Linked DNA regions of Arabidopsis thaliana. The protein of the gene in region 1 interacts with the protein of each later gene in a pairwise test. Each region holds a gene or a part of one and is shown in the gene's direction. Other genes may lie near its edges.

Region 1 (10,283 bases):
TCTCTTGTAGCCCATCATCAAATCCATCCATCTTAATAAGCGAAGAACCAAAATCTGTATCCTCTAGTCAATTGATTTCATCACCAGCCAAACCGAGATTACCAGGAACAGAAGACAAGATTGTACTCTACTTCACAACCCTCAGAGGAATTCGAAAGACATACGAGGATTGTTGTTGCGTTAGAGCGATATTGAGAGGAGTTCAAGTGTCCGTAGACGAACGTGACATCTCTATGGATTCCAAATACAGGAAAGAGCTTCAAAGCGTGCTTGGCGCCGCAGAGAAACCGGTTTGTTTGCCTCAGGTGTTTATCAGAGGAACTCACATTGGTGGCGTGGAGGAGATTATGCAGCTAAATGATGGTGGTGAATTAGCAGAGATGTTGAAAGATTTCCCTGCTTGTGAACGCTTGGGGACATGCCGGAGCTGTGGTGATGCAAGGTTTGTGCCTTGTACTAACTGTGATGGTAGCACCAAAGTGTTTGAAGAACAAGATGAACGGTTTAAGCGGTGTCCTAAATGCAATGAGAATGGATTGGTGCGTTGTCGTGTGTGTTGTCTCTAAGTGATCAGTTTGATCAAAAGATGTGTGTGAGAAAGGGGATATAGATTGATTGACTAAACATGGTATTTGGTTAGTAATGTATATTCAAATAAGTAAGTTGGCTCAAGCCTTTTATTATTTACTCTTATGAGTTGTGTTCTTTTGTTCCATTTACGCTCTTGACCTTTTGAACTAAATGATTCTTACTATATGAAGTACATCAAATGGTAGATGATGATTGATAATTCGCATAATAGCCGAATGATTTGCTTTGTTTGCAAGGTATTTTTTATCAATGAAAAATATGTGCAACATTACCACAAATGTAGTTTGATTGATTGATGTCACCTGCTCGCTCACCTATATTAGCTTTCTTCCTTCTGTTCTTAAATCCTAAAACGACAACGTTTAGTCTCCCTTTAAATCCCATCACTGGACTCGACGACTTTTGCTCAGATAAGGGAGACAAAAATGGAAGTGAAAGGGAAAGAGACAGCTTCGGTTCTGTGTCTGAGCAAATACGTGGATCTATCGAGTGAAGAGAGTCATAGATACTATCTTGCGCGGCGAAATGGCTTGCAGATGCTCCGAGACAGAGGCTACGAAGTCTCCGACGAAGATATCAATCTCTCCCTTCACGATTTTCGAACTGTTTACGGTGAACGTCCCGATGTTGATCGTCTTCGCATCTCCGCTCTGCATCGCTCCGATTCTACCAAAAAGGTATATCGAAGTATTTTCGTATTCGTTGTGATTTTTCGATTTCTAGCTGTTTTTTTGTCTTTGCATGTTGTGGGGTTTACTGTTTGGCAGTGAAGAAGATGATGGAATATGAAATTTGTGACTCTTTTAAATTTCTTATCTTCTAATTGAAGTTTGAATTGCTACTTTTGTGGATTCAGATGACTAAAGTTTACTACTTTATTGTCCTTATCAAGTAGCATACCTCATTTGTTTGTCCTCTGAATTTTTGTAATGTGAAATGTTTCTGGTAACAACTAGCAAAGTGATTCTTAGATCTCTTCCTATGGCTATTGAACATTCGGACAATTCATTGAGTGATCTCTTCAATCTTTAGAGTATGGTCAATGTCAAATGTGCGAGTTCTGATGATAGCTACAAGTTTCCATGTTTAATTCTAGAATGAGATTGAACTGCAAAAGAACGGTTAAGTTGGATATTTGTTGAAAATCTTACCCCTTTTCTTGTTGGTTGTTTGGTTCATGTTACCTCTTTTTGTATGCTTATAGACATGCTTGTCACCTGCTTTCAACTAGTCGATTTCATATATTGATTGCTACAAGATTTTTGTTACTTATAAATGTCTTCTATTTTCAACTCATGATGTTTCTTGCATCAGCTCTAGTCTTATGGCATAACGACAGATATCTCATAGTGATTCTCTGGATATAGTAACATTGTGTTATTGGTTTAAAGGGTCTGCTTCAAGAAGTGTTGTGATTTTGCTTGTTCAGGTAAAAATTGTCTTTTTTGGTACTAGTATGGTTAAAGTCAACGCAATCCGCAGTGTAGTAGCGGATATACTTAGCCAAGAAACCATAACTGGGCTGATATTGGTTCTGCAAAACCATGTAACCAATCAAGCCTTGAAAGCCATTGAACTTTTTTCTTTCAAGGTCGAGATATTCCAGGTTGGTACACCTATATATTTTCCTAATCTAATTTTTCTTGGTTAGTACTTCAAATCTGTAACATCTAGTTTCCTTTTTGCTGTCTTGTTAAGATAACGGATCTGCTAGTCAACATAACCAAACATTCACTGAAGCCACAACATCAGGTGTTGAATGATGAAGAGAAGACAACACTTCTCAAGAAGTTCAGCATTGAGGAAAAACAGGTCCATTATCCATTTCTTGCAGCTAAATAAAAGTAATAGTCTCACTTTTTGAACCGTTCATCCCAAAATTTATTTAACAGCTTCCTCGGATTTCAAAGAAAGATGCTATCGTCCGGTACTACGGATTAGAGAAAGGGCAAGTTGTGAAGGTGAATTACAGAGGCGAACTCACGGAATCGCATGTTGCCTTCCGATGTGTGTGGTGAAGAAACCAATTAAAAACCATCTTGTGTACTTATTTTCAGGAAAAAATAACTTGTATGTTTCTAAGGTTTTGTTTTTAATCCTAGAAGATCCGTTGCTTTGAACACAAGAAAAAAAGTTAAGGAAAAAAAAAAGATCCTTTGCTTGTTCTTGAAAACATTACCATTTATGTTTTCCGTACAAAGAGCAGTCACTACACGCTATCAATACACAAAAACAGGCCATGGAGACTCCAACATTTCTTCAGAGGTTCGAGGACAATCAAAGCTCATTGATGGATCGGTTTGAGCGGTTATCTTTCGAGGCTCACCTCAACAATGCCTTGCTTGGTCGAAGTTTATCTGAGTCAGGCTTCTCTTTGATGTACAGTGCAGTCGTCGATGATTCCCCGATACATACAGCAGCTCCGGCTAGCCAAGCCCGACGACGACTAGGACTGAATAAGATACTAAAAAATCTGATGAAACCAATTAGATATTGTAGCAAAAAAATGGGCAGGGGAAGAAAAGAAGAGGCGTGTGATATTGATCCAAAGAGTTTGAAGAAGTGGCAAACTTTCAGCAAATCTCTCCGATTATTTTGATGCTTTTATAAGTCTTGTATTTTCTATGGACATGAATATATATGTATTTTAACGTTAAACTGTTATTCAATTAAACAAAATACATCACCTAAATTAAAATCGACAACAAAAAAGTACTATGATCTAAAATATGAAATTTGTTGCTTCAGATATTTTTAATAACTTAAAAAATAGAAATTACTTTTACAAACCATCAATAGTAATAACTGCTTGATTGAGTTAAAACTCCACGTTAAACATCTAATCGTGAAAGATTAAATCAGTTTTTTTCCTTTTCTTATCTAGTTGTTATGAATCTTGTAAATTTATTGGAAAAAATCAGTAATACACCATCACATGTCACAGAAGTTTTTTATTCCAAAGGGTTGTTAATAACAAAACAGAAGATATGGTGATCAATGTGGGTAAGTCTTAACAATACAGGGGTCTTGTTGATAAATTCAAGGGATAAATATCGTCTGTTTCCCTGAGCTTGGGCAACAAGTCCAACTTCTCTCCTTAAGAAACTCTCCTTAAGAATTAAGAAAGAGACCAGAAACGAAAACCTCATCAATCAAAGCTCAAAATCGCCTTCAATGGATGCTAAGATCGGACAATTCTTTGACTCCGTCGGTACTTTCTTCAGCGGCAGCGATAAGATCCCATGGTGCGACGGAGATGTCATCGCTGTAAGTTTTCTCTATATCCTTCATTTGTTTCGCTTTTTTCCGCCTATGTTTCCGAAGAAGATGAACCATCTCTTGTAGGCAAATGGAATCATGAACCATTTGCAGAAATTTAGACCTGTTTTCGTGTTTCTGCTTGGAAATTTCTGAAATCGGATTTGCTTTCTCGAGGATATTTTTTTATTGGATTCGATTGAATCGAGCTTTAGAAGTTCATGAGTTGCTGTAAAATTCGTCCTCAAATGAGCGTGATTACTGATTTTTGCACCCTTATGTTGGATCCGAATTTGATAGCTGTGTAGAACTTTACCAAATGTCACAGCATCAATGGTTTTTTGTTTGATAGCTTTGTATCTTCTTCAATCGTCTAGCTTCATCTGCTAAACTCTGTTGTGTTGATGTGCAGGGATGTGAAAGAGAGGTTCGAGAGGCCACAGATTCTGGCACTGAAGATCTTAAGAAAGAGTGCTTGATGCGATTGTCATGGGCCCTTGTTCATTCCCGTCAAACGGAAGATGTTCAACGTGGAATAGCCATGCTTGAAGGTAGTAGTACTCCTATCTTGTTCTGTGAAAACTATGGCCTGACATATTCGTTTGGCTGCAAGACTTAGCACTGGTTTTGACACAAGAAAGCTGAAGCTATTCTTCTGCATCATTTAAACAGAATATTGATAAATTTGTTTTTGTTGTTGTTGTTTTTTTCAGCATCTCTGGAAAGCAGTGCCCCTCCATTGGAGGACCGAGAGAAGCTCTATCTTCTTGCTGTTGGGTATTACAGAAGTGGGAATTACTCAAGGAGCAGGCAGCTCGTGGACCGCTGTATCGAGGTTTCATCCACTTCCCAAATCCTTTCTTTATAGACCCTGTCATCCGCTATATACTACTGTGTGCTGCTTATATATATATATATGTGCTTATTCTTTTGCTCTCTGATGTATGGTTTGTTTTCATAGATGCAAGCTGATTGGAGACAAGCTTTGGTCCTAAAGAAGACCATCGAAGACAAAATCACAAAGGGTAAGCCACTCGTCAAACTTAAACACTTGAATTGATGGATGGTTCTAGGGATTAAACACTTGAATTGATGGATGTTTCTAGGGATAGATAATGTTTGTAACAAATCCTAATTGACTTACAGAGTTACTAAATGGTATTTGTTTATTCTCAGATGGTGTTATAGGGATAGGGATCACGGCTACAGCCTTTGGAGCTGTGGGTCTCATAGCCGGTGGTATCGTAGCAGCGATGTCTCGCAAGAAATGAAAACCACAACCATGACTTCTTCTCTGTGTATACAATGGCAGTTTACTTTTTTTCACATTTTTTTCTTCTTCTTTGAGTGTGTTCTCCACTGCTTACTTCACAATCTATGATATAGAAAAGTCGAAGCTATTTGCTTCGAATTAACATTTTGCTTCGAATTAACATTGTGCCATGTCATTAATTAGCATTTTTACATACCATTTTTACATAGCATTTTAAGATTTTAAACTACAAATTGCGGTTTGCCATATCATTAATTAGCATTTTTATAAACCTTGCAAATTAATATTTTTAGAATTATAATTACTTTCTATATTAAAATATATTAATTATGTAAACTTAGAAATATATATGGAATTTATGTAATTATAATTATGTAATATTAGTCATTCCGCTAATTAATATTTTTATATACAAAGAGATTTATTAAAAAAAGAAACCAAAATTGGCAATATGTCAATTTAATTATTTTTTAGTTAGAAACTTTTATTCTTATTCTTATTTGGTGAATAATCAATCTTAATAAGATTTAACGGCATGTCTTAAATGTGCCAACTACTACGATCTTTAAATGGCCATTTAAGTTTAACAGAAAGTAAATGGCCAAGTCAACGAAACTTGTTTATTTTTTCAAAAAGTCAAACCAAGCTTTACGATTTAAATGACATTTCGAAAGTTCGTGCTTTTTTCGTCCCAAATTTGAAAGTTCGCGATTTTTTTGATATTTTTCTCCATATAATATGTTTATCTTCGGAGAAAAGCTTTATGAAACTGCATTTAATAGGTTTACTGAATTCACTTTATGTAAAGTTTGCCTATTGTATGTACTCTGACTCAATCCCAAATAACTCAGCAGATTTTGAAGTAGTGGTGGTGGTGCACAGCTGATGTCGTCGAGGTCAAGGAGGATCTTTGAGAAGAGCAAGAGAGTTTTATGTTTACTTGAATGAGTATCTTTGTATGAATTCTCAGTTTTTACACCAAACACCATTTACTTTGGTTAAAAAAAATTTAAAGAACCCCACCATTTGAGCAGACAAAACTAAATGACTACAATTCAAGTTCTTAAAGTGGGGGGTATTGGAGCAATGACTTTGACCGAATTTATTAGAATATAGATTCTATTGTTATTCAATTAGGCGTTTTATAAATTCTTTTAAATTCTAGTGTTATTCAGTTTCTCAATTTCTTAATTCTACTCAATTCAAGTGTTATTCAATATTATCTAATTTTCATGACAATGTCATTTGCCAAGAATTTAATAGAAATATTAGTGCAAAATGCACAAAACAAATGGTCGTATAAGGCTAATGTAAAGGGTCTGCTAGATCTAATGTAAAGGCTAATAAGCAGCTAATTTCCCTTTTTGCACGATTAATAAGCCTAATGTTAGTATTGTTGATGTTCCTGATTCTTGTCTTCAAGTACTCTCCAAACTTTCAAGCCTAATGTTACTTGTTCTCAGAAAACGGTTCCTTACACCATAGAGTACTCTTGTCATTGTGCATAATCATCATCGACGCCCTTAGCTGCGGAGATAGCTCTCGTTATCGACGTGAACTCCGAGAAGAATACAAAGAAGATGTTTGGAAATCTACAATGATCAGAGAGGATTTAGCGAGAAAAGCGGAGAAGTTATGCGATCTGTTAAACTTAGCAGTATTGAGAGTGGTTTTAAGACGAAGAAAAAGGAGGAAATGTTGTAGATTTTGAAACGTATGATTAGAGATTTACAAGTGGAGACTGTGGAGAAGAAATAGGTTCAGTTGTTAGCAAAACTGAAATTAGAAACAGAGAATTAGAAAAATTATTAGTACTTTTTAATTCTATTCAATTCTAATAAAATGCTGAAAATGTAATCGTTAGAATTGAAAAGAATATTTAAAATCTTTTGCAATGCGTGAAAATCTGTAATTATGTGTCCAATTCAATTCAATCAAATTCTATTAAACTCTTTGATCCAATAAGTTTCATTAAAGCAAAATTGAAACTTAATGACTACATGATGAAAGTGCTGGAGGTGTGTATTCTGCTATCCATATTTCCACTCTAATTGTATCCGTTACTTTGTTTTCTTCCTAGCCTTTTATTTCTTCTCATTATGCACTCTGTTAGTCAAATGTTTCTTTGTCGATATGTCATAGCAATCTGGAACTCAAAGATACTGTCTCATTTGCTAGCTCGAGCCCTCGTGGTTTTTCATTTATTCATGAATTTCTTGCTCTTCATTTGATCTATTCACAGATAGAGAACCACATGGCTGCAGTGGCATGTGATACGCCTTTCAATTTCTTGAACCACATGACAATTTTAAATTTATCGAACTTTACCCTACCTATGAGTAATTTGTTTGATAAGAAAATTCAGCTAGATGTTCATCAAGTGGTTACTGTTTATATGATCAGTTAAGTACTTGAGCTCAACTCTTTGATATCCTTTGAGAAGGAGTGTATGTTGTTGCTTGTTAGTTCTTCTTCTATGTTGTGATATTCTTGAAGATTTGAATGAACAATCTTCTGTCCTAAAAGTTCAATTCTTGTCTCCAGGAAAGAACACCAGAGAAAGGGCTTAATGGCTTATGTTACGTTCTCATCAAAGTTTCCCAGCCAGGACATGGCAAGGGCATGATCAGTCCAGTGTTGGGACCGCCGTAGCAGCTACAGCACCGCCACTGTTTTCAAATGCAGCATCATCAGGATTCTCACTCTCAGCTACACGCCCTCCTTCATCATCAGCCCTTCGTCAATTTGAATCAGCCCGGTCTCTATGTTATCCACCCATCTGATTACATATCTTAGCACCAACACAATCTCATGAACCGCCCACAACCACCACCATAGCTTCCTCCTTCCTCCGCATAACTCAAGGTAAGACTTTCTTGGAAACAACAACATTCAACTCATCGTTTGGCTCAACACACAAGCTGTAGTTTCCCCTTCCTGTTATACGTTACGTTTACAATCCAAAAGAAAAATTCCAATTTTGATAGAAGACCCCTAGAGTTTGAGATGTTTGTATTCATATGAATCTTGATGGAAACATGAAAAGTATGATAAATGCTTAGTGAATAGGACATCCTAAGGAAGAGTTCCAAGTTGAGGCAAACACATATTAGACCTCCTGTTTTCTGCTTCTCTGTAAATCTCAAACACATATTTGAGGCAAAGTTTTCCTAAGATCATACAAAACTACAAGTAACAACATACTTTGTATTTGTCAAAATTTACAATTAAAAATTCTAAGGGATCCTTACCATTGGAGATGGTAAAAACAACTATTTGGAGCTCTTGTCGCCACGAGAAAGAAACTCAGTAATCTTCTCCAGAGCCACCGTACGACCAAACTGAGCAAAACCATTGCAAAGTCCAGTCTCTCTGTCTAGGTCAACGAGAGTTGACTTCAACCTCTTCCGTTCCTCTTCCACCTCTCTCATAGCTACAACCACCGAAGACCTTTTCTTAACAGCAAACTCCGCCGTCAAACTAATTGACCTCTCCACAGACTCCAATCGACTCACGAGTTTACTAATTTTCTCCACTTGCTTGAGAGCCACGATAATTCCTCTTTCCATTGAACTCATGGCCGTCTTCTCCCTTTTCAAAGATTCCGTTGATTTTCTCCATCTTGAAGCTACGAAGGTACTCAATCCCTCTATAGGAACTAATCCGGCAACGAGTTTACTCAAGAAGATTACAGCAATTACCGGAGCTAGTAAAGCTGCCGTGACAATCGCTCTTCGTCCTCGAACACGTCTCAGCTTTTTGTCGATATCTTTCATCGTCTTCTCCAGTTTAACGACCATCTTCGCCAACTCTTCATGACAAGTCTGAAACTTTCTGAGAAACTCGCAATAATCCAAGTCGTCTTCTTCACCGGAATTGTTGTTGTAAAAGGCGTTGAAGTTCCTCAGATCTCGGTAGGTTTTTCTGAAACTAGCTTCTTCGAGTGACCCACCATAACCTAATTTTTCCAACTCAAAATCAACTAGTGCTTCATCAAGTAAGAGACACTCGTTGTTCTCGGATCTCTCTAAGCAAGTTCTAAGAGACTCGCAGAGCTGGGAAACACCTTTGCTAGTGGTGAAGTAATGGTTGAGAAGACGGAACAAGTCGGGATCTTCACGGAGATCAGTTTGTTGAAACTCGATGAAGAGTTTAGAGACGTCTTCGTCCATATTATCCATACACTCGCCAAGTTTGTTAAGATTATCTTCTGATCGTGATCGCAGCATCCCATTACTGTGGCCGATGGAAGACGAAGTGGTAGGTGACGATAGGAGAAACATTGTTGGAGAAATCATGGAGATCGGTTTACGCCTGAGAATGAGTCTCAAGAAAGGATTGCAAAATTTCATCGTCGTTTTTTGCAGAGTAAAAAGAAGATCAATACGATCTTTAGAGAACAGAGTAAACAAAAATACGATCTTTAGAGAACAGAGTAAGAGAGTTTCACAATTTTGATCAGATGAATAAGAATCATTATAGAAAAATTAGTCAGCAGTCGGGTTATATTAATAAACTTGTAAGAAATTTCCATTTATTTGCGAAGAAGTATTTCCTTTTTTTTTTGCCAAGTCAAAATTTCCTTTTTTCTTACTTTTCTACAGCTGTATAAACCCTCGGAAAAAAAGAAATTGATGCAACGGTCATATTGAAATATTTATGAATAAAAATTGAGAAATTTGGTGTTATAACCAACAAAAATTTAATAATTAAGAAACTAACCTAAAAAAAGATTTGATATCATATTCTATATATTTTCTATATTAATACCATTTTATCTTTTTTCATTGTACGTCTCTTGTCTGAACAGTTCATCTCTCTCGCCTCTCACTTCTTTGTCCTTTTTTTAATTACAATTTTATTTTTGTAATTACTCTGGTTTGAATTTTTTGCATAGACATGAAAAAAGAAGAAGACCACACGTTGGCTCCGAATAAAACATGGCCGAGTCACCCTCCGAGTCAACCTCCGCGTTGCTTAGCACCACCACATCCACTAAGCCCGCTCAATCCGGGACTGTTTCTATTTCAAGCCCTCAAAGTCACCATGTCGTCTTCCCTGAGATCCCAATCGAGATCATCAATGAAGAAGAAATAGTTATTCTCGATGCAGCTCTTGCAGCCTCCCACTCCATCCTACCTTCCGTCATTCGTTCTGTTTC
Region 2 (11,191 bases), on another chromosome or scaffold:
TAGAAATTACAGATGAACAAAACATAATAGAGAGGATGAAAGGTGGATCAAACCCGACAACCAAATCGTCTTTCCCTACGCTGATACGAAGCAAGAGCCTCTAGAAGCTTATCCTTATCGAAATCAGGCCAAAATACCGGCGAGAAGAAAAGCTCGGAATAAGCAAGTTGCCACAAGAAGAAGTTACTAATCCTCTGTTCTCCACTTGTCCTAATCATTAAATCAGGACTTGGGAAGTCACTACAATTTGTCAAAAGCTCTCTCTCGATCAATGCCTCGTCTACATCTTCCTCTCGGATCAACCCTTTTTCTGATTTCTTCACAAGACTCTTGCAAGCATGCATGATATCAAATTTCCCGCTGTAATCTACTGCCATGATGAGATGTTTATTCTTGTAGCCTTTGGTAGCTTCCTCTATCTCATGGATTTCTTTGAGGAGAGATTCAGGGATCTTCGTTTTATTCCCGATAACAGAAACGCGAACTTCCGATCTGAAACAAGAAGAGCTTGCTAATAAATGAGCTTACCAATATGTTAAACAAATTTTTTTTATTATATTTATATTTTATACCTGTGGAAGAATTTGATGTTGGACTTATTGCGGTAGTGTTGGATCAAAGACATCAAGTTATCAATCTCAATCTTAATAATAACAACAAATTGTTAGAATCGATAATTGTATGAGAATGTAAGCTACATACTTTTTCCAAAATGTCACACCTTGTCTCTTCCCCAATTCTCTGTGGAGAAAGCAAAAGCTGAGACTGTATGAACCCCCAACTCGAAGCAGAGCTCGGCGATATCTATAAGCCGTTTAGCTCCCGCCTCGTGGCCTTGTGACGTCGTCAATCCGGCCCGTTTGGCCCATCTCCGGTTCCCATCCAGTATGAATGCCACGTGTCTCGGCATTAGTTCTCTTTGTAACCCATCCTCGCGGACAACATAAGTTCCCTCATCACTTCACAAACACAAAAAGCCAATGTTAAGTCATGATCCAACCAAAACTGTCTTGTTTCAAAATACCACTCTTCAAACACCAAATTTTGTTTTTGTCCATATTCAAAAATACCACAAACTAGATTTTCAGACTTTTATAAATATGGTATAGAAAGTGTTTATAAGGGTTTTATAACATGTGTGGCTAGAAATTGCTTATAAAGTTTACAGCGTGGATATAACTTAAAAGATTGACATTTTGTATGAAAAAATGTATATGTGTAACACACAGCAGATTAAGTTATTGCTAATTGGCTAAATGCATGCCAAATTTTATTTGAAGGTTGTAGGTTTTTAATGACAAGTTTGAAAATTTTAGTTAAGAGAGTACTAAAACATATAACTACTACTAAAACTAAAAGTATGATTAGAAAACGCGAACTATACCGTTTCTCGTTGTCTCGAGCAGCTTTGATTTTGATGAGTCCGATGAGTTTTAGCAAGAACACAGGGAAGCCTATATAGCTTGTGATAAAGAGACAAGGGATGAGAAAGAGAAAGAGGAGTGATAATAGAGAAGAATCAGAAGAAAGAAGAGACAACATTGTTGTGACAACTTAATTTGGCTTTGCCTCGATGTTTGTTTGAGTTATTGAGGCTTTCTCATTTACAGTATATATATTAAGAAATCAAAGACATTGATCAATCAAACTACGCAAAGACAGGTGGTAATACGTATTACACTCTTCCTTGGTGAAACTTTAATATCAGTTAATAGAAGTTTTGTAACGTTATCTATCTTTTTTCCAGCTGCAAGTTGTAACGTTTTGTAACGTATTACACTAGGGCTTTGGAAGTTGGAACCCACGTGATTGGTTTCTTGTGTCACAAGACTGTGATTAGCACCAATAATTTTAGAGAAATTAATTAAACTCTCTTATTTTTCTGGCCAATTACGAGTCTGGTTAAAATATATTGACCGAAAAAGGTCTTTATAAATTACACGGAAAATGTTGAGATGAGAAGAATCCAAAACTCTCTTATCACAGTATGTTAATTACCAAAAAAAAAAAAAAGGAAGTAAAATCACAGTGCTCGCTGATGATTTTTCTTAAATCATGGAACGTACATGAATTTGAATTCTTCCTCGTGACACTCTTTGGTTGACATTTTTAACCAACAGAATTGTTTGCAGTTGAAACAAGCTTTTGAGTTTTGACCGTACAAAATTAGTCGATATGCTATACGAAGATCTCTATAAGAAAGATCTGTCGAACCGAGTAGTTTGAAAGATAGTTAAGCCTGCTACATGTGCAGTGTTCTCCAAGAGAAAAAAAAAAACACAAGAAAACATGGGGCAAGTTCATGGAGTGTTAGACAAAGAGAAAAACGTGTCGTAGTTAACATGTCTTAAAAAGGCATGCAGATAAAGTTCATGACAGAAGGATTTCATGGTAAACTATGGTCGATGTATATGCCATCATCATGTGGAAAATGAATCATATGCTAGCTTTGTCAAATAAAAGAATATATAAAAGACATCTCGTACACAATATTATATTTTAGATTGAATAAATAAGAGTTCAGAATATTAATATACTTCGCTGCTCTTTTGCTACACCATAATACTGTGTTGAAACGTACATAACTACATATATGTGCAAGAAGATGTTATTATAGCCATTAAACTTGATCCTAAAAAAAAATCTTAATTATTTTTCTTTTCATCTTAAATACTAATTTTGTAACTCAATCTTAAATGTGCATATGCTTTTATCAAGTGTTTTTGATAGCTATATTATTTTAATTCTATTTATATGAAAAAAACATATACAGGTGGAAGATTTCTTTGTTGAAATGCAAGAAAAAATAATTTCTATTTGTTGAATAAATGTCTTAAATGGAGAAAGCTCCTTGGATATCATTGCATATGTTAAAATTTTCTACATTTCAACAAAGAATATAGAAAATTTCTATGTTTTTCTTTGTTAGTGTGACAGAATCTACTAAAAAATACATATTTTTATGCCAATGGTTAATATGTTTAACGTTTTGTGTTTTAGTGATATCATACAAAAGTTTCTAGCTAGCTAGATTTTTATGCCAATGGCTCTCTCCATTTTTTTATGATTAAATTTTCAAAAAACTAACAAGAGAACTTTGTGTATTATTTCTTGGTTTTTTATACTCCAATGGTAGGTTCTCTTAAAGGAGGTCTCTTAAAAAAAAAATATTCATATAAATTATTTTATTTCATACAACTTAATATTACAAAGCATAAAATATTAAAATACATTTTTTGGAAATATTATAAAATAGATGTGAAATAAATATTATAATGTTTAGTTAAATATATAATTTTGTCATAAATTATGAGCTAATTAAAACAAAATTAGTAAACCAAAACATTTAGGGGGATGTATTGGATTAGGGATTTTAGAAGATTTTTGTTTTTCTTAAAAACCATATCAAATCTAGTGTTATTCAAAAATTAAAAGGTTTTTGTTCCTCTACTCATCAACAAATTAAAATTCTTATAATTTTTTTTTTTTTGTTTGGCTTGAATCTGCATGACTCACTCAAATTAGAAGCCAATTACTATCATCAAATTAGAGATACATTTAACTATGAAGCGAATTACTATCACCAAATCATGAGCTATATGTGTTCCATAGTTACAGAGTCTATCACCAAAATACATAACGCCAACAAAACAAACTCCTAGTCTTGTACATCTATGAAGCCAATGACTCAAAACATACAACATAACCATCATGAAGCCAATTACTAAGAAAAAGCAACAAAAGAAAGAGATAGATACAGAGAAAAGAGAAAATACTTGAGCAAGTTGGGACTGAGTCAGCTTCTTGTCTTCTCGGGCTTGCATGATGGCTTTCTTCAACTTAGTGGGCACACGATCACCTGATTTTAAAACCATATAAAGGTGTTAACGATAACCAGCATTACGAATCAATCAAACACATATGTAGACTTCCTCTCGCTAATAATGCAAACTGAAGAAAATATTAATAACCCAAGAGAACAGACTAGATTACTAGAATGACTGTACCCAAGCAAAAGCTGGTTCTTATGGGATCCAAATCAACAACACTGATCCCCATGCAACAAACAATAAAACGAAACAGATCAATCAGATAACTTCTTCGTTTTCTAAAGAACCAAATCATCTACACAACTAAATCAATCAAAGCTTAGTCATCTTCCTATCTGACAATGCTCTGATTCGAGGGAACGAAGCAAGGGTTTGGTGGGAGATTGGATTTGGGACAAACACATATAGAATTGGGTCATCGATTTGGTGAAACGAACTCGGAATGGTGAGCAGCGTCGAGAGAGACGACCAATAGAGAGAGTGAGAAAATTTCCCGACGGAATGAAAAATAAAGACACAAGGATTTTTTGTTGGTTAAATATATCAACCAACCACTGACTGCCACGTAGGAGGCTCTCTCCAGAATTATTTGTTTTGATTATTTTTAATCAACAACTTCAAGAGAACCCTATCAAATTGTGATACTCATATCATGACACTGACAAATAAAAGAGACCATGAATATGGTTAGGCCATATGCGATATGGCTTCAAAAACCAAGTTGGGACAATCTTATGTTTAGTCTTAAGTTTGAGTTCATTTTAATTCATTTTAGATACTATTGTTTGATGTAAAATTAAACTTTGATAAATAAATGTACCTAAATTTGGATTGATTTTTTCATAATCATGTTTAAAATTTTTGGTGTTATGCAATTCTGTTTTGTTTTGTTTTTCCATAATAAGCATCTGAACATTTTTACAATATTTATATATTTTAAGAAACTGAAGTTTTAAGATGTATTAATCTACATTAACCTTTTCTATTTTAATGTTAACAAATATTATATATTATAAGTACAATATTCATCAAATACTATAACATATATGTGAAATGTAAATATTTACTACTAATCAAATATCATACTGCATATTTGATTGCAAAAGAGCTAAAAATCATTAATATTGCACATTAAAAATAGTCAATAAACTAAAATCATTAAATACACAAATATATCATAACACAGCAAGTGTGTACCATTATTAATCAATAGATTTACGCTATACAAGTTTTCCGAATTATGTATGTGAAATAAATCACACCAAAAAAATGTATTTGAAATGAAAAAATTCCCCGCCTCTGTAATTTAAGTTTTTTAGATTAAAACAGCTAAACTCTTTTCATTAATTTATTAGAGATACAAGATATTGTTATTTGTTACCAATACCAATATGTAAATTTTTCTGAGTAATTATTATAATTAGTTGAATTTGGCTACCATATGCCAATTTTCAACACATAAAATTCTTTTAAACGTGAAAATTCCAATAATCTAAGAGCCAACAACCACGAAAATTAAACCTCGTTTTAGTCTAAACTCTAAAATGAGAAATAATTAGAAACCAATAAAGGCTCTTAAAGAAAGACTAGGTCAAGTTCAAAGCAAGTTTTGCTTTGTGTGGTGGTCGTCGTCTCTTTCTTTAAACACACTTGTTTTTTTCTTTTTCCTTTGACCACTCCAATATAAACAACCAAGAACCAGTGTTCCTCGTCCATTCACTCTCTCGTAATCACACACACACTCACTCATACGAAGCCAATTGTTCCACACAAATTGGAAGCGACGACAATGGAGCCGAAAGAGAACGGCTCAGAATTGGGTCAGAAGATCATTGACGGACCAACGAATCCAATGGTCACACCTTTACTCAATGATCTTTATCAATTCACCATGGCTTATGCTTATTGGAAAGCTGGCAAACACAACGAACGATCCGTGTACAACACACAATCTCTTCTCATGCTCTGCTTTTGATGTTGAATTCTGAATGGTTTTGTATATTTGAAATTGTTTTTGTTTCCTTTTCAGTTTCGATCTGTATTTTCGTAAGAACCCATTTGGTGGTGAGTACACTGTGTTTGCTGGATTAGAAGAGTGTGTTAAGTTCTTAGCCAATTTCAAATTGACTGATGAAGAAATCGATTTCGTTCAAGAGTGTTTGCCTGGATCTGAGGTATATCAAAAATCTGTTTGTTTTTAGATTGTTATTGATTAAAGTTTGGATTTTTAAATCAGGGTTTTATGTTTGTGATTCAAATTAGGAAGCTTTTTGTGATTATCTTAGAGGGCTTGATTGTTCTGATGTTGAAGTTTATGCAATTCCGGAAGGATCAGTTGTTTTTCCTAAAGTACCTCTCATGAGAGTTGAAGGACCTGTTGGTGTGAGTCTCTTTGTCTCTTTCATTTGTGAAGATTGTTTAAGGAATAGTTTTCTTGAATGAATGATTCATCAGTTGTTGTAAAATCTCCATAGGTTGTTCAATTGTTGGAAACTCCATTCCTCAATCTTGTCAATTTTGCATCTTTGGTAGCTACTAACGCAGCTAGGCATCGCTTTGTTGCCGGAAAATCTAAGAGTCTACTCGAGTTTGGTGCTCGAAGGGCTCAGGTTTCCTATAAATCTCTCTCTTGTTTTTTGATATATTGCCTTTTGTGTTGTTCTTTCCATCTCTGTCTGATGTTATTAGTGTTGGAATCTTAGGGTCCGGATGGTGCAATAAGCGCATCAAAATATTGCTACCTTGGAGGTTTTGATGCAACAAGGCAAGTCTTGCTTTTTGTTTTTGTTGATCTGGAAGTAGGTGAAAGGGAATGTGGAAATGATGTGTTTTGTGTTGTTGGGTATTTTGCCAATGACAGTAATGTAGCAGCTGGAAAACTTTTTGGGATTCCTCTTCGTGGAACACACTCTCATGCTTATGTTAGCTCATTCATGGTCAGTTCACTTCAGCCAAAAGTTTCAATTTTTATGTGGAGGTTACATACTTGAGTTAGCTAGTAGAGACGATAACACAAAGTTTCGTGAAAATAAGATATTCTTGTCAATGCCTTTGTTGCTATAACTTTATTAGCCATGGTTCTGATGCACACTTAATATCCTCGCTCATAACAATATCACAAAAGCATTTTCGATATAATTAGTTAACTTTGGATTGCAGAGTACTGATGAGATTGTTGACAAAGTACTTCGTAGTGCTGATGGGAAAACCACGTGCGAGGATTTTGTTAGTCATGTTCAGACATGGTTAAAAAAGATTCAGGTTTGTTTATTGCACATTTTGCTCTTCCTCTTCCTGTTTTCTAGTCTCAGGACCATTGTTCTATTTCTGCTTCAACCCTTTGCTTGAATCTTTGTCACAGTTTTTCTTATGTTTTGTTTCTTTGTGGATGACAGTATTCACCATCTCTAAGTGGCATTTTCTCTGAGACAAATCAAAGCGAGCTAGCAGCTTTCACCTCATATGCACTGGCATTCCCCAAAACTTTTCTTGCCCTCGTAGATACATACGATGTGAGCATTAAACACCATAGTAGATAGCTCATTTGAGCCTTAGGATTTCTAATAAACTCTTATATTAGTGTTTTGCTGACTGTTTTACAGGTGATGAAGAGTGGAATCCCTAACTTCTGTGCAGTTGCTTTAGCACTCAATGACTTTGGGTGTGTAAGAATCTCTTATCAATACCCGATCGTCTGACTTGACTTTGTACTTCTTCAGGATCATATGGAATTTGAGATGCAATTGATGTTTATTGTGCTGCGCAGATATAAAGCATTAGGTATTAGACTGGATTCAGGTGATTTAGCTTATCTATCTAGAGAGGCCAGAAATTTCTTCTGCACGGTAGAGAGAGAACTAAAAGTGCCTGGTTTTGGGAAGATGGTCGTCACTGCTAGTAATGATCTAAATGAAGAGACGATTGACGCTTTAAATAAACAGGTGACTCCCTAACCCACTCTCAAATGCCATGCCCCCGAAAGATTGATTATTATTAAGCAGTGTTTTTTCTTTCATCTCTATAGGGACATGAGGTGGATGCTTTTGGCATCGGGACCTACTTGGTCACTTGCTATTCACAAGCGGCCTTAGGTTGCGTTTTCAAACTTGTGGAGATAAACAATCAGCCTCGGATTAAACTTTCTGAAGATGTTACAAAGGTTAAAACTCTCTCTCTCTCTCTTGGTGTTCTGAACATTCAATGTCACATTGCACTTAATCTGATTATCATTCTGATTCGTTTAGGTATCAATACCGTGTAAAAAGCGAAGTTACAGATTATACGGCAAAGAAGGTTACCCTCTGGTAGATATAATGACTGGAGAGAACGAACCACCTCCAAAGGTAAAACGAAAGATAACTCTCTCAAAGATTTTAATCTCATTACCTTATTGCATTTTTACATAATATCTTTCTTGATATCAAAGGTTGGTGAGCGTTTACTTTGTCGTCACCCATTCAACGAATCCAAAAGAGCATATGTAGTGCCACAACGTGTCGAAGAGCTCCTCAAATGTTATTGGCGTGGAAGTGCAGGTAAAGATTTTCCGGTACCGTAGAGTTATTAATGACAATGCTTTTCACTGATTATTGTTTCTCTATACCAATGAAGATGAAGCAAGAGAAGTATTACCGCCTTTGAAAGAGATAAGAGACCGTTGCATCAAACAGCTCGAAAACATGCGACCTGATCATATGAGGAGATTAAACCCAACTCCTTATAAGGTATGGTTTTATCCGACAAACATGTTTTTCAGTTTCTGAGAAATCTGTGTAAATGTTTTTTTCTCTCATGGTTTACAGGTTAGTGTAAGCGCAAAGCTGTACGATTTCATCCACTTCTTATGGCTAAACGAAGCACCTGTTGGTGAATTGCAGTGACAGAACAACCAAAAAGAAGAATCTGGTTTTGGTTTGGTGTAATGTATATAATTTATATACCACAGCATCACAAATATGCATTTTTTTCACTTTTAGTTTCTTTTTCTTACAACATTTTGATGATCTCTCATTGTCGTAGTAAGTTTCATTTTCTTACTGAGGAAAGAAACTCTCTGCGTTCACTGGAACTTTGTTTTCAACTGATTCAATAAGATTTTATATTTACAGCTGTAAACATACTGGAGACTGTAAAAACATTTACTCAAGTCAACGATTTTGGATCAGGTTTAGTTTCGTCATATGGTTGACAACTTACTGTTGCAAACGGATTGGTAAGCAGTTGAGTTAATTGAGTTTTTTCTAGCAGAGATTTGAAGAACATTACCTTTCTTCAAAAACTTCTTTAGGCGTTACTAGGACGTTTGGGGTGGACCTAGTCACTAACCACATATTCAAAATTCATTTCCAAAAAGATGAATTATGGAATATGAGAATAGAAAAATACAACAGAGTAAATGAGGAGTAAAACTTTATTACAGAAACTTACCAAACAGTAAAAAAAAATATGGAATATAAGGAAACCATTACTTAACGAAAAATCACTTAACAAGAATACAAGATGACTAAAAATGACAAGACGATAATCCATCCAAATTGAGGTTAAAAACAAGTGATAGTTTTGGTCTTATACAACAGAGTTATACAAGTGTAACTTTGAATTCTTATGGTCTCCAAATAGCCATGGCTTCGAGGGCAGGGCACTCGATATGGGCGTGGGTTTTCTTGGATGAAAGTTAAATTTGTTGATATAAAAGAAACACATAGTATACACAAAACTGGTCGGGACCAATACTCTTTTTTTTTTTGGCTCCGTTCATATTTTCAAAACAACAATTCTTTAGTGAAAATTAATAGATTGATTAAAGAAAAAAATGTTGAGAAAACATGAACTTTCATATTGTTGACGAAAAAAACATGAACTTTTCAAATGTCATTTAAATCCTAAAGTTTAGTTTGACTTCTTAAAAAATAGTTAATTTAGTTGACTTGGCCATTCCAAACATATCTTTAAGTTTCCCTTAACAATATCACGAAAATAAAACAGCCCTCGATGAAAGAATTGTTTTTGTTTATTTGAGTCCCTCATTTAACCTGTTTGTGATCTGAATTAAGCTTACATATACAAAATGGTCCATGATCATTTGTTTTGAAGATTTTCTGAAATGGTCCATGAAAGAGTTTTGTTTCCAAGTCTTCGGATAATTTGTCTAGTTACAAAATGGTCCTGCATCATTTGGAATAATGTATTTATGGCATTATCTCAAAATTCTCTAACCATTGGGCCAGTACAGTATGCCCTTTACAGATCTAAAGTTTTATTATATGCTAGTATTATTATAATTAAAATTTTGAAAAGTTTCAAACCAAGTTTCGTGTGATAGAATGTTTGTGATTTGTTATTAATCAATAAACTTTAAGAATAACAGAATCATCTTGAAATTCTGATTGGTCGAGCTCAATCATATTCGGTGCTGAATATGAAACAAAAAAATTAGTTGGTGTGGTTAGCTGACATGGTTGGTACGATTTTGTTCAACAAAAAACTGCACTGAAATTGTCGATTAGTTAATTTAAGTAGTAGAACAATAATAACTAATTTCATAGTACTTTTTAATCCATATCAAACGTTGTAAGAAATAAAATTCTAAAATAATTTTAAGCGTTTAGGGCGGTAAGATAATCTACCAAAATGCATTTGATGTTTTTGGTTGAATATTATTAAAACGGAGAAGACAAAAAAATGAGTGTGGTTGTACCTGTGTGGGGATAGAATTTTATCAGTCACCAAAAACATAAAAATGTACTAAAGAATATGCTAAAAGATACACAAGATTCGAAGAAGAGGTAAAAGTAGAGCTAAAAGACACGACTTTTCTGGGCTCTAAAATCTGTTAAAAAGCTTTCTTCTTTTTCTGTGCAATTTCGTACTTCTAAAAACATTCCTCCTACAAATCTTATATTTCCAAATCAACAAAATAAAATTAACTTATTCCCTGAAATATTAAAATCTAAAAAGTTAAAAAAAAAACCATAAACTTCTTCTTCTTCTTCACTCTAACTTTACCCATTCGTAACGTCCTTCTAATGGCTTCTCCTTCTCGAAATCGAAATTGTACCTAATTAAAAAAAAATAAACTCACTCTTAATTTTACCTCAAAATCAATTTTAAATTATGAATAAAAAATATATTATCTATAAAAATCAAACTCACAAAATAAAATAAAAACTTACTTCTTCTTGAATTTTTCTTTGAGTTGTTTCTCAGCTTCCACAAAAAAATCTTCAATTTCCGATTCCGTTGGCATCTCCGTCATCAATTTCGCCTTCTCCTCCTCCTCCGCCGTCACCGTCTCCTCCATCGTTTTCCTCCCGCTACAACAACAATCTAACGATTCTTTAACCGCCGATTCAAATTCCGAT

Evidence for each region.
Region 2: the proteins of BIGYIN (region 1) and NAPRT2 interact in a two-hybrid assay, tested with the Arabidopsis thaliana proteins (one large-scale study listed by BioGRID).

The regions. Positions count from the first base shown.
Region 1 is NC_003074.8:21,124,862-21,135,144, forward strand, and holds BIGYIN (Tetratricopeptide repeat (TPR)-like superfamily protein), read left to right. Parts: upstream 1-3,534; 5' UTR 3,535-3,765; coding exon 3,766-3,858; intron 3,859-4,261; coding exon 4,262-4,400; intron 4,401-4,562; coding exon 4,563-4,684; intron 4,685-4,810; coding exon 4,811-4,874; intron 4,875-5,025; coding exon 5,026-5,120; 3' UTR 5,121-5,147; exon of another isoform or gene 5,148-5,395; intron 5,396-5,976; 3' UTR 5,977-6,228; downstream 6,229-10,283. Other genes in the region: AT3G57070 (Glutaredoxin family protein), read left to right, coding at 1-566; AT3G57072 (uncharacterized protein), read right to left, coding at 838-975; NRPE5 (Eukaryotic rpb5 RNA polymerase subunit family protein), read left to right, coding at 1,017-1,268, 2,021-2,197, 2,290-2,403, 2,484-2,609; AT3G57100 (transmembrane protein, putative (DUF677)), read right to left, coding at 8,395-9,474; AT3G57110 (exonuclease V), read left to right, coding at 10,063-10,283. UniProt on the Arabidopsis thaliana protein: Component of the peroxisomal and mitochondrial division machineries. Plays a role in promoting the fission of mitochondria and peroxisomes.
Region 2 is NC_003071.7:9,966,200-9,977,390, forward strand, and holds NAPRT2 (nicotinate phosphoribosyltransferase 2), read left to right. Parts: upstream 1-5,403; 5' UTR 5,404-5,619; coding exon 5,620-5,768; intron 5,769-5,859; coding exon 5,860-6,004; intron 6,005-6,092; coding exon 6,093-6,212; intron 6,213-6,304; coding exon 6,305-6,439; intron 6,440-6,532; coding exon 6,533-6,594; intron 6,595-6,690; coding exon 6,691-6,766; intron 6,767-6,989; coding exon 6,990-7,091; intron 7,092-7,225; coding exon 7,226-7,342; intron 7,343-7,432; coding exon 7,433-7,491; intron 7,492-7,596; coding exon 7,597-7,771; intron 7,772-7,854; coding exon 7,855-7,989; intron 7,990-8,074; coding exon 8,075-8,173; intron 8,174-8,256; coding exon 8,257-8,365; intron 8,366-8,441; coding exon 8,442-8,554; coding exon of another isoform or gene 8,555-8,593; exon of another isoform or gene 8,594-8,632; coding exon 8,633-8,710; 3' UTR 8,711-9,008; downstream 9,009-11,191. Other genes in the region: CPT (cis-prenyltransferase), read right to left, coding at 48-492, 573-643, 722-959, 1,385-1,542; ICK1 (Cyclin-dependent kinase inhibitor family protein), read right to left, coding at 10,821-10,887, 11,003-11,191. UniProt on the Arabidopsis thaliana protein: Catalyzes the first step in the biosynthesis of NAD from nicotinic acid, the ATP-dependent synthesis of beta-nicotinate D-ribonucleotide from nicotinate and 5-phospho-D-ribose 1-phosphate.